3 linked regions of the Bombyx mori genome follow. The protein of the gene in region 3 purifies or fractionates together with the protein of the main gene of each other region. This does not show direct contact. Links are inferred from orthologs where the notes say so. Each region holds a gene or a part of one and is shown on either strand. Other genes may lie near its edges.

Region 1 (3,660 bases), on a different chromosome or scaffold from region 3:
CACTCACCTGTGTTCCCCATTGACTGACACCACTGCCTGGCATCATCTTGCTCGGTCCTGTATGTTGATGCTGGCTCCACATATCAGTGTTGAGTCTACCCGAAATACCACCACGCAGATCATGACGAGGATCCACGGGCTGCTGCCGAGGGTCGGAGCCTCTGTGTGGATCCAATCTTGGATCTGCTCCTCTATGAGGTTCACCCCAAGCATTCCAATCATCTTTCTTTGGCATGCCCCATTGCTGAGAATGTTGTGGTGGACCAGCTGGCCACTGTTGTGGTGGTGGAGGCCCAGTCCACACATTAGCAGAATCAGAAACATCATCATCTTCTCCCCAGGTGCCACCAATATTAGTCGTCGGAGTATGACCCCAAGGTGTCTTAGAAGCGGGTTGTGGAGGTGGTTGTCCACCATTTCTCAAATTAGCTTCCCACAGATCAGTTCCAAGGAAAGCACCATTATTAACATTGGGTTTCCATGCAGGAGGTCCTCCTGCTGCTGTCGGTTCAACTTTTGCACCGGGTTCAGGTGAACCGGGGACATCCCAATTAGTGTCTTGATTAACATGTTGCTATTAAAACAGAAAAAATGAATTATATTATTATACTTATAATGGACATTTGTGATTTTTATTTTATTGTATTCTATACTTACACCTCCCCAACCGTCTTGACTAAATAATGCCTCTCTCATTGAATTTAACTGTTCAATTTTGGCTGATGAAGTGCTGTTGTTGTTACCATTGGTCCCATTGCCAGCAGCTGAACCATTCACACCCCCATTAGCATTATTAATTCCATTATTTCCATTAGTTGTATTATTTGTACCTGTGCAAAGATAACATATGTTAATTCTAGGGTCGGCAGACTAAAGCACATAAGTCAAAATTTTCAGTTTATTTTGTATTACATCATCGGTTTACATTTTGCTCAACACACAATCTGACTAAAGCACATAAATCAAACTCAAGTATTTCATGGCGTATTCAAGCGGCGTTCTGTATCAACCTTAAGAAATCCTAATATAATCAAACGAACTAAAAAACATAACTGGACTTATGTTCTAAGGAACACCATAAGTACAAAGTTATTAACGTAAGAAGTCTGACTTATGTTATAAAGAACATCAAAATGTAACATTTCTTTAGAGAAAGTGGTTACTTAAAAATATTTATAACGTAAACAATACTTCGGTAAGTGGTTTTAATTTACTAATGTTGTCGATTGTGCACAGTTTGTTGGTTAGTTGTGTTAGTTAGTTGTGTGTGAGTGCTTAAATATTTTAATTATTTAAGATGAATATTCAAAGATGCAAGAAATTAGTTGAAATGGCGTTATCCACTCATCTGGAAAGCAATGAAGGTATATTTTCACATATCTTCAAAATTATGATTTGCAAATTACGTAATTATATCAATATTATATCATTATAAATAGATGATTGTCTTGTCCTTTTTTAGAAAATGTAAATCAACAGTCGATTTTGAACTCAGAGAACCTAGTGGCAGACAATCCTATACCGTCGACATCATCAGGTCAAGTCAGTAGTTTAACATACCATCCTGTACTTGACTTCTCTAGTGATGATTTTGTACGAGATCCATGTTATGAATTACCGAGACTTTCAACCACATCAAGTTCAAGTACTTGTGATGAAATTTCAATTAATCTTAATGTGTCTCCAAAAAAGAGTATACGTACTATAAAAAGAGAAAAAAAATTAAAACGTAACTTAGGACAGGCATACAAAACATTAAAAGGAAAATGTATATCAGATCGCACTATGAAAGAGCTACCTGTTTGCAGAATGAAATGTAAAGAACGTATACCACTAACTGATAGGCATGCCATATTTACAGAATATTGGCAAATGGGGTCATATGCAAAAAGATCTGCATACATGGCGTCTTTAATGGAAATTAAAGATAAATCTACGCAAAGAATACGAGCTATTGAACCTGAAAAGCAAAAGCTTAGAATGAAGACATATAAATACTTTTTTACTGTGCATGGTAAACGTGAACCTGTCTGCCGAGGATGTTTAATGAAAACGTTAGATGAAAGTGACAATTTTATAAAGACAGTTGCTATGAAAAGGAGATCATCCATAGGGGGTACTCAAACTGATGACATGCGAGGGAAAACAATTCCTAAGCATAAGATATCAAACGAAAAACGCCTAGAAATTAAGACACATATCATGTCATTTCCATCATACGAAAGTCACTATACGAGAAAGTCTACATCAAAGAAGTATTTGCCATCTCACTTAACAATGCAAAAGATGTTTGAGTTATTTTGTCAAGATCGGAATAATCCACCTTCAATCAAAATCTATAGTCAGGAATTTCACAAATTAGGACTTTCATTTAAAAAACCGCGTGTCGATACTTGTTACACTTGTGACAAGTTTAAGATGCAGATACAGTTATGTCAAGAGGAATCTGTTAAAATAGATCTCATACTTCAACATGATAACCACAAAACGCTAGCTGATCAAGCCTATGAAATGAAACGAGCTGACACGCTAATGTGCAAGAATGATGACACGTTACAGGTGTACACATTTGATTTACAGCAGTGTTTGCCAACACCAGCTCTAAGTTCTTCTGTAGCCTTTTATAAACGGCAATTATGAACGTTCAATTTAACTGTCCACGACAACAAAACTGGTAAAGCTGTTTGCTATATGTGGCACGAGGCGGTAGCAGCTCGGGGAGCTAACCAAATCGCTTCTTGTATTTACAAGCACTTAGAAACATCCGTATCTGATAATACGAAACATATAATTTTTTACTCGGATACATGCGGTGGGCAAAATAGGAATTCCCATGTCAGTTGTATGTTTACTTGGGTATTGCAAAAACATCGAGCTATCAAAACAATTGACCACAAATTTATGATACCTGGCCATAGCCATTTAGAAGAAGATACCGATCATGGCATCATAGAAAAAAAAAAGAAGAAAACGGAATTACAGGTATTTCATCCACATGATTGGATACAGTTGATCCGGTCTAGCAGCAAAAAGTTTAAGGTTGTTGAAATGAAAAATACAGACTTTTATGACTTTTCATCCCTCCTCAAAAGTGCTTTAGTTTTAAGAAATAAAGATACCGATGGGCGGCAGTTTAAATGGCTGGAAAAAAGATGGCTACGCTATGAGCAAGAATTTGGCATTCTCACTTATAAAGACACCCTGAATATAGATTCGCCTTTTTCTACCTTTAACTATAAAAGAAGAGGGTCCAGTATTCCTGATCATATTCCTATAATATCTATACAGCCATTACCCATATCCATCGAGAAAAAAAATGATTTAATTTCGCTGCTCCCTTTAATACCGGATATTTTCCATGAATTTTACGTAAGTCTTCCCACGTTGGAAACTTTACGAAATACTGATCCAGATATTTTAGAACTCGATGAAGAAGTAGAATTTTAATTAAACATTGAGTTGTTATTTATATTTATGACTTATATTATTATAATATATATCTTAATTGTTGATCTTTTTCACTTAACTCATACTATTATTGTGTTCCTTATAACTTAAGTCATCTAAAGATTAAATAATCACATTTACTTTAAAATATTTAATTTTAATAATAAGTTAGTGTTATAGACTTATATAATTCAAATAAACATTATTAAGTTT
Region 2 (3,660 bases), on a different chromosome or scaffold from region 3:
TCAACGTGCAGATGTATGCGTCCCGTTCGACACCGTCCCGACCAGGGAGTCGAACCTTGTCCGTCCAGCACTGAGGGGCCAACCTAGTAAACGTGTCGGAGGGGAGCTTTCCACAGTACCTGATAACAAAAATTCATACTTTAATTATTTTTTCCCCAATACATGAATTTGAACTAAAATGATAATAATAGTCTTTCCAATAATACTAATGTGATAAATTATGTATTAATACCTTATGACAGCCAGAGCCATCTCTTGGCCAATAGCGCTACTAGACATGAACAAGTAACGCCATCTAGTTCATGAACATACGAACGTTCAGAGAACGATTGACACATTACTTAGACATAGAGACATACAGCACGAAAGTTTGCCAACGCTCCGGACCGTAGCGTTGGGCATAGCATTGGACGTAGCGTTGGACATAGCATTGGACGTAGCGTTGGGCATACATATGTGACACACAAGTGAGCGCGACAACGCAGGAGTTGAAGAGTGCAAAGCGAGAAAAGCTATACAAATTCCAAGCGAACAGTGAAGATCACTGTGCACTGTGCTAAGAGCGAGTTTTTTAACGTTCTCGACCGCGTAAAAGTGAACTCAAAGTATGCAGTTGGAACAGCGCCCCTAGCGGCAAACGTAGGCAAACGTTCCAACTTCATACAAATTAAGAGTTAACTTTTACGCTATCGAGAAGGTTAAAAATTTCGCACTAAGCACACTGTGTAATGTGTTACAGTGTGCGTAAGATATCTAGCAAGTAGAAAACGATATCATATTATTATGTCGTGAGATTAACTTCGACTTCGCCATGACCCTGGCATTGGCGACGTCCATGAGCGACGGTAACCACTCACCATCAGATGGACGGCATCATGGATCATGAACCTATAACTACGCAACGGATTTTGATGCAGTTTTTTTTAATGATAGAGAGATTGAAGAGGAAGGTTTACATGTATAATAATATCCATTAAATAGTGGAGAATTGCGGAAATTCGACCTAACATCTCGAGACAGGTCATAGAATTGACGTTGTGGTATCTATAGACTCGGATAAACAGTTAATACCATCCCTTTAGTTTATAATCTGTAACTATTGTAACCCCAGTGAAAGCAAAGCCATCTATCGTCGAATAGCAGAAACGAATATCAAAGGAACCAGTGAAATCTGGTATGCTCGAGAGGTACAACGCCATCTATTGTCAGATAGAGGAAACACACACTGAAGCTTCTCGACTTGCCCAGAACGTTGTCGACAAACCTAGGGATTTCGTATCGACTATAAAAGCGTTGCAGAGATGACACGAATTCAGTCAGTAATCGGATCTAATCGAATCGAAACAGCGAACGGATCACCTGAAGCGAAGCGGATGAAATACATTGAGAATTTTAAAGTGGGTGTTAAGTGTTTTATACAGTTTTAATTTGTGCTTCGGTAGAATTGTTATTTATCGCGAACCCCAGCGCGTGACGCTATTAAAACAAAATTAACTTGCCTGTTAATCAAAGCTATGGCCGAACTAAGATCCACACTGCCACCCGTCTCGTTCTCACACTTGACATCGTACTTAAGATCACTGTACACTTTGGACACTTCACTCGGACAAGGATCACTGTCATTACAAGTCTGACACAAATCACTTTCGGACTTATTTGAGATAACATCGACGTCCTCTGTTTTAGTCCATTCAATCTTTTTATCATCTTTTTCTTTTACATTCCTTTTATCATTTAATTCATTAACGTCACTAACGTCTGACACGGTTACATAGTTTTCACTTAATTTAGTTTCTTTCTTGCTATCCTTCATATGGTCGATCGATGGTTCCATTCTCAATACATGTTTTTTATTATCATTCGGCGCGTAGGGCTTTATAAGTCCGGTGAATGTGTCGGCCTCATCCTCCTGTTGTTGTGTCGGTTCATTCTGTACACCGCATCCGCATTTCCGCGTTATGATCTGTAAAATATACATCACTGTATCAGGAGAATAGTTCAAAACGCTATCGATTGAAGTGATAACTTCTTATAAGAGGGTAATCCGCGGTTCGTTACCTAACGCGTTACGCCGCCAGTCTGTCTGTCTTCCCTTTCTCTCACACATCCGGCAGCGGTACTAAGAATGTATGTAATTCCTAACTATTTATATATCTTTAAATTCGTTAATCTAACATATTTGTTTGTGCTGTTCTTAAAACCAGAGATTCGCGTATGGAAAAACTGATCATATTTATTTGTAATTAAATTTTCTTTTCTTCTAAGCACCTGTCATTTTTGTATATACTGTGACATTAGCAAAATCAATGCCTAAGGCGTTGGAGCCAATTCTTAAAAAAAAAAACTATTAATATATCCTTTTCATTTTATGCAAATAAAATTTAAGTTGTTAATTTTTAATCTTTAAATGGCCCTTCTGTAATGTTGCAAAAATGTCGCTTAAATTAAATAGCCTTTCGCCTTTAAATAGTTCGTGCGCCCTTGACATATACAGTTCAGGGAGACTATAGCGGTTAGTTAACGCGCAATGAAAAGCGAATCCTATGAGGTCGTTCATCCCGTCAGTCGAGTTTGTATTGCATTGCGCCGTGCATCACATCTGATACAAATACAACCCGTATTGCTTATACAAAGCTCAATTGAATATATAATATGTATATACCAAAATCGTCAGATTTTACTGAATGAATAAGACTTATATGTCGATCCCTTTCTCTCGCAAAATAATTTCAACAAAGAAAGGTTGCATCCCAAAACCTAAATTGGCAGTAATATCATTGAGAGCATATAATTTATATTGTGTAATGTAATAAGCTGATGAAGATAAAGCAATACAGTGAAATTTTCTCATCTGTTTGTCAAAGGCTTTTTTTTTAATGACGTGGGTATCAATAAAAAAATAATCAGACTTACTAAGCTTTCCTCAAGTTAAATAATTTCAATATTAAATAGTTCAACTTAGATTAGTATAAGGAATAATAGACATACTTTATACTATAATATACGCCATAAATTATCGGAACGATTGATTTATAAATTAGTATTACGAGCGATATACCTGATCGAGTTCCCTGTAGATGGGCAGCGTGTCGAGCAGCGGGCCCCCGGTCCGCAGCAGGGCGAGCGCGGCGGAGCGGGCGGCGCGGGCGCGGCTGCGGCACAGCACGTACGAGCGGTACCTGGACAGCGAGCTTGTCTTGCAAATGGAGCTTATTCACGGTTACTGAGCTTTCACTATTATACTGGGTGTTCGGAGATCGCTTCCGAAAACGAAGACAGACGATAATACTAATGACACCTTTGATGATGGGAGGGGAAAAAACCGATACTAATTTAAAAAAAAAAACATATTTTTAAAACGTCTTATTAGGATTATTTACGCTCCATCATGTCAGTACAGCTAAATGTAACGATACAACTTTTATTTCCCAAAAGCTAGGGTAAATGCATTAATAATTAAAACCTACTTTCTGAAAGGGGAAAATTTTCAGTGTTCTTTGTGCAAGTGGTAAGGAAAACACTAAAAACATTCGTTAATCTATCTGGTACATAATAAAATAAGCCAGAAGGCTGTCAGATGTGAAATATTGATATTATTTCATACAAGTATAGAAGGCATAATAGGATAGTTTACGACACAAAATCTTTGTGGCATAATGA
Region 3 (3,660 bases):
AATTTAAAGTTGAAATACCTGAAAAAAAAATTATTATTACTACTATTATACTATTTTAACGAATCTAGCTGTGGGATTGATATGATTTTAATAGACCTAGAAATATTTTTTTTTTTTGCGCATCGATAGCGGTTATTGCCTATCGTTTATGTACAAAGCAGTTATTGTCGCTTAGTCACGTTTGCCTGTCAAGCGTCGAATTATGTTTGAGTTGGCGGGGCGCGCGCGGACCCGTCGGCTTTAGGCGAAGTACATGACCTTCTTGACGTTCGAGAACTGTTTCTCCGCGATACAATCGACGGCGGAACGTTGGGAGTGAACGTTTGTGTTTCGTTAGATATGTCTCTATGAGTCGTCTGCGTTAGGCGAAGTACATGACCTTCTTGGTGACGGCGTGCACGGTGATGGCGCGCGCCATGGCGCCGGGCGTGCGGTCCTCGCTGCAGGCGGACTGGTGGCTGCCCTCGCCCGAGTCGTGCTCCTTCTCGACGAGGTGGTAGCGCGCGCGGAAGGCGACCAGGTGCGCGTAGTAGGCCGGCGCCGGGATGGACACGGAGCGCGTGCAGCGCACGTACGTGTGGCACAGCTGGTACGTGAGGCACTGCAGCTCGTCCGAACCGAAGTGGTTGTCGTCCCACAGCACGTGGTAGTGCGACGGCCGCGACGTACCCTGTCGGCGACACAACAACATCACTATGCCATCTAGTTACTTAGTATCAGTCAATTCAATACGCGCGCATTGCTGTTTAATCCTCAAACACAGCCCACCGAGTTTCTCGCCGGATCTTCTCAGTGGGTCGCGTTTCCAATCCGTTGGTAGATTCTGCGAAGCGCGGCTCTTACAACTATAAGTATAGTTACAACGGCTGTCCCAACCTTCAAACCGAAACGTATTACTGCTTCACGGTAGAAATAGGCAGGGTGGTGATACCCACCCGCGCGGACTCAGAAGAGGTCCTAGCATCAGTATACCAGATTAGAGAACGGCCGATTGAATCGTATTGGCACGTACCTGGATGCCCTGGTGACTGCACAGGTAGAAATCGAATTCGGTGGGATGCGTGATGCCGAGGTCGACCGTGGTCCCGGCCGGGATGTTCCCGGACTTGCCGGACTGCTCCTTCTTGTCGGCGCAGAACAGCCGCGTGTGATGTCGCTTCTGTACCACGATGAAAGTGATGCCCGGCTTGTACTCCGCTTCCAGCTGTAACCAATATGATATTATACGTGACTACTATTGAAACTATTCAGTAGCATAAAGTACGTTGTTACATTCTTTTGTACAGGTTACAATTATCCCGAATGTTATTATTTAGGTCATTGACCTTAATTAGCCACAGAGTCACGAGATCCGACTTCGATTGAATTGGTCGTATCTTATATGGTTTCCCGCGTGTATGACAATAATAACAAGATAAAACTCTTAGCTTTATCCTAATCTGGAAGATATAATTATAGGCGATTACTTTAAATAAACGATTCATAATAAAGAAACATCTTTATAGTTAAGCAATAATTAAAATTTGTCTCAAACACCAGGTACAAAAGTAACTTAGGCACTATCCAGATGACTATTACGAACAGAGTATTACGTATGAAATTATATTTACTAAACGGTTTGTTTTATGTAACCTCTGCATTAAAGTACATCAATTAATGTCTTGTTCTGAGGTAGCACCCAGCCTTCAAAACTTGTTTGGTAATACTGCACTTTTCACGACATAAATAAAATAACATATAAGTGATAATGATTGGGTTAAAATAATGAATAAACGTAAAGTCAATAAAATGATTAATAAAATAATAATGACCTTGATACAAGCCTCCCTCACAGCAGTCAGCTCATGCTGTAAGACGTGCAGGAACTGGCCTTCGGAGATGCCGTCGCGATACATGATGATCCGGTGGGGTTTGAATCCGCCGGTGCTCTTGTAAAACATGATGAGCAGCTCCTGGACCATGCTGCTCATTTCGTGAACTATCTCTTGCCTGTAAAAGGATTTTATTGAATATAATTTTTCGCGTAGATGGTCAAAGACCTCACGTATGACCTCACAGCTCGCTTTGTTCGTAAGCGATTCCCAGGGCTCAATTTAAAAACCTTCATTTAGGTTTTATTGCAGTGTGAAACTAGTAATGAAGAAAATCTGTATGGCTTGTTTTGCACCAATATAATTGGTAGGACGGTGGTACCTCCCGATTCGAACTGGAAAACACGCTCCACTAATCTACTTCTAAAGTACTAAATTTATTTTACGTTTTATAAATTTCTGAATAGACCTTATATGATGTATCTTTAAGGAAACTTGCTCTTGCGAATTAAGCAAAAAATTACTAATTAAACTATTTAACATTCTTAAACACTAAGTAAACGTTTTTTTCAGTTCAACAAATTCAAATCTAACAACAACAAAAGTGACATCCCAGATTTGTCCCTATTCTAACTCTAGTCTCTATTCCCGCCAATCTACTGTAGTTGGAACAACTCTACCGGCGAATAGGTAGGGAAATAATAATATACGACTACGTAATATGGAAGGGCTGGTTACCGGTGCTGCTGTACCCTGACGGTGGCGGCGTACCGCGACGGATGCGCGTCCATGGAGCCGACGACGGCCGCGATGGAAGGCTTCTTGTTGTCACCGGCGGGCGGGTGCGTCACGTCCACGCCCAGGAAGATCACGGGCTCGTTGAACACCTGCGCGACACAAACGACAGAATTAGACTGTTAAAAAGAACTAGTCCCCCCCCCCCCAATAGTCGAAATTCGACTATAATTAATAGAAATTATAAGTTTGAACATTATTAAGATTCTATTGTCAAGGACTATTAAAATTCTATAGTCACCGATTTCGCTAAGACTACACTTTATTTAGACAAATCTTAATAATGACAAACAATATTTATTCTATACTCAATTTGGCCACATACTATAAGCAATAAGAAAAGTTTGACAAAAAACAAAGAGTATGCATGCGTGTGCGTGTCAAATACACGGTAGTGCGCATAATGTTTTTTTATCGATTTAATAAATAAAAATGCATAATTAACAAAAATATTAACATTCTACACTCCTTCTCTATATTCTCTATAGGTGTGGGAAATTTCATACTCTTCCGTCTGCGCAATTTTCGTAAAGAGGGGTACAAAGTTTTTGCTTCACGTATTAATATATAGATAAACTATTACGGACCACTTCTATCTATCTCGCTCTAATAATGTTCTTCATGACGCATGTGATGAATGACATTATGACATATCCTTCAAACGATTTAAGAGGTAGCGTTAGGTTGCTGTCGATGCTGATGTCCATGAGCGACGGCTGCCGTACATCAGGGTAACAACATACACTAATTTGTTGGTTGCAACCGAACGCCACTAGATGTCGTTCTACACTTCCACATGCGTTCTAATAACAACTGTAGAAAAGTTTCACGGGTTGAACGAAGATCATAAGCCTTAGAAGTTGGATCGATGTAAATTAAAAATTGATCAACAATAATTGCCCTGATGTGTGTGTGAATGAATAAAAAATTTGGAATTGAAAATTTCAGCAATAGGTCAACAGCCTAATCGGCACGATCAATGTTGCATTCGATCAGCATAGAGGGTCGGCTGTTACACCAACGTATATTTTTATCGACTGTTACACCAACGTAG

Evidence for each region.
Region 1: the proteins of Ago1 (region 3) and protein Gawky purify together in Drosophila melanogaster (affinity purification with western blotting; 17 studies listed by BioGRID, with this or other methods). This does not show direct contact. The link is inferred for Bombyx mori from reciprocal best matches to the Drosophila melanogaster genes AGO1 and gw.
Region 2: the proteins of Ago1 (region 3) and endoribonuclease Dcr-1 purify together in Drosophila melanogaster (affinity purification with western blotting; 5 studies listed by BioGRID, with this or other methods). This does not show direct contact. The link is inferred for Bombyx mori from reciprocal best matches to the Drosophila melanogaster genes AGO1 and Dcr-1.

The regions. Positions count from the first base shown.
Region 1 is NC_085123.1:4,237,018-4,240,677, reverse strand, and holds part of protein Gawky, read right to left. Parts: intron 831-3,660; coding exon 658-830; intron 575-657; coding exon 8-574; intron 1-7. UniProt on the Drosophila melanogaster protein: Required for gene silencing mediated by micro-RNAs (miRNAs). Silences both polyadenylated and deadenylated mRNAs. Required for miRNA-mediated translational repression and mRNA decay. Not required for miRNA target recognition.
Region 2 is NC_085117.1:4,322,983-4,326,642, reverse strand, and holds part of endoribonuclease Dcr-1, read right to left. Parts: intron 3,180-3,660; coding exon 3,059-3,179; intron 1,964-3,058; coding exon 1,500-1,963; intron 120-1,499; coding exon 1-119. UniProt on the Drosophila melanogaster protein: Endoribonuclease which functions in microRNA- (miRNA) gene silencing and, independently of its ribonuclease III activity, also acts in the short interfering RNA- (siRNA) gene silencing pathway.
Region 3 is NC_085111.1:12,337,798-12,341,457, forward strand, and holds the end of Ago1 (argonaute 1), read right to left. Parts: intron 2,699-3,660; coding exon 2,550-2,698; intron 1,990-2,549; coding exon 1,812-1,989; intron 1,205-1,811; coding exon 1,013-1,204; intron 671-1,012; coding exon 362-670; downstream 1-361.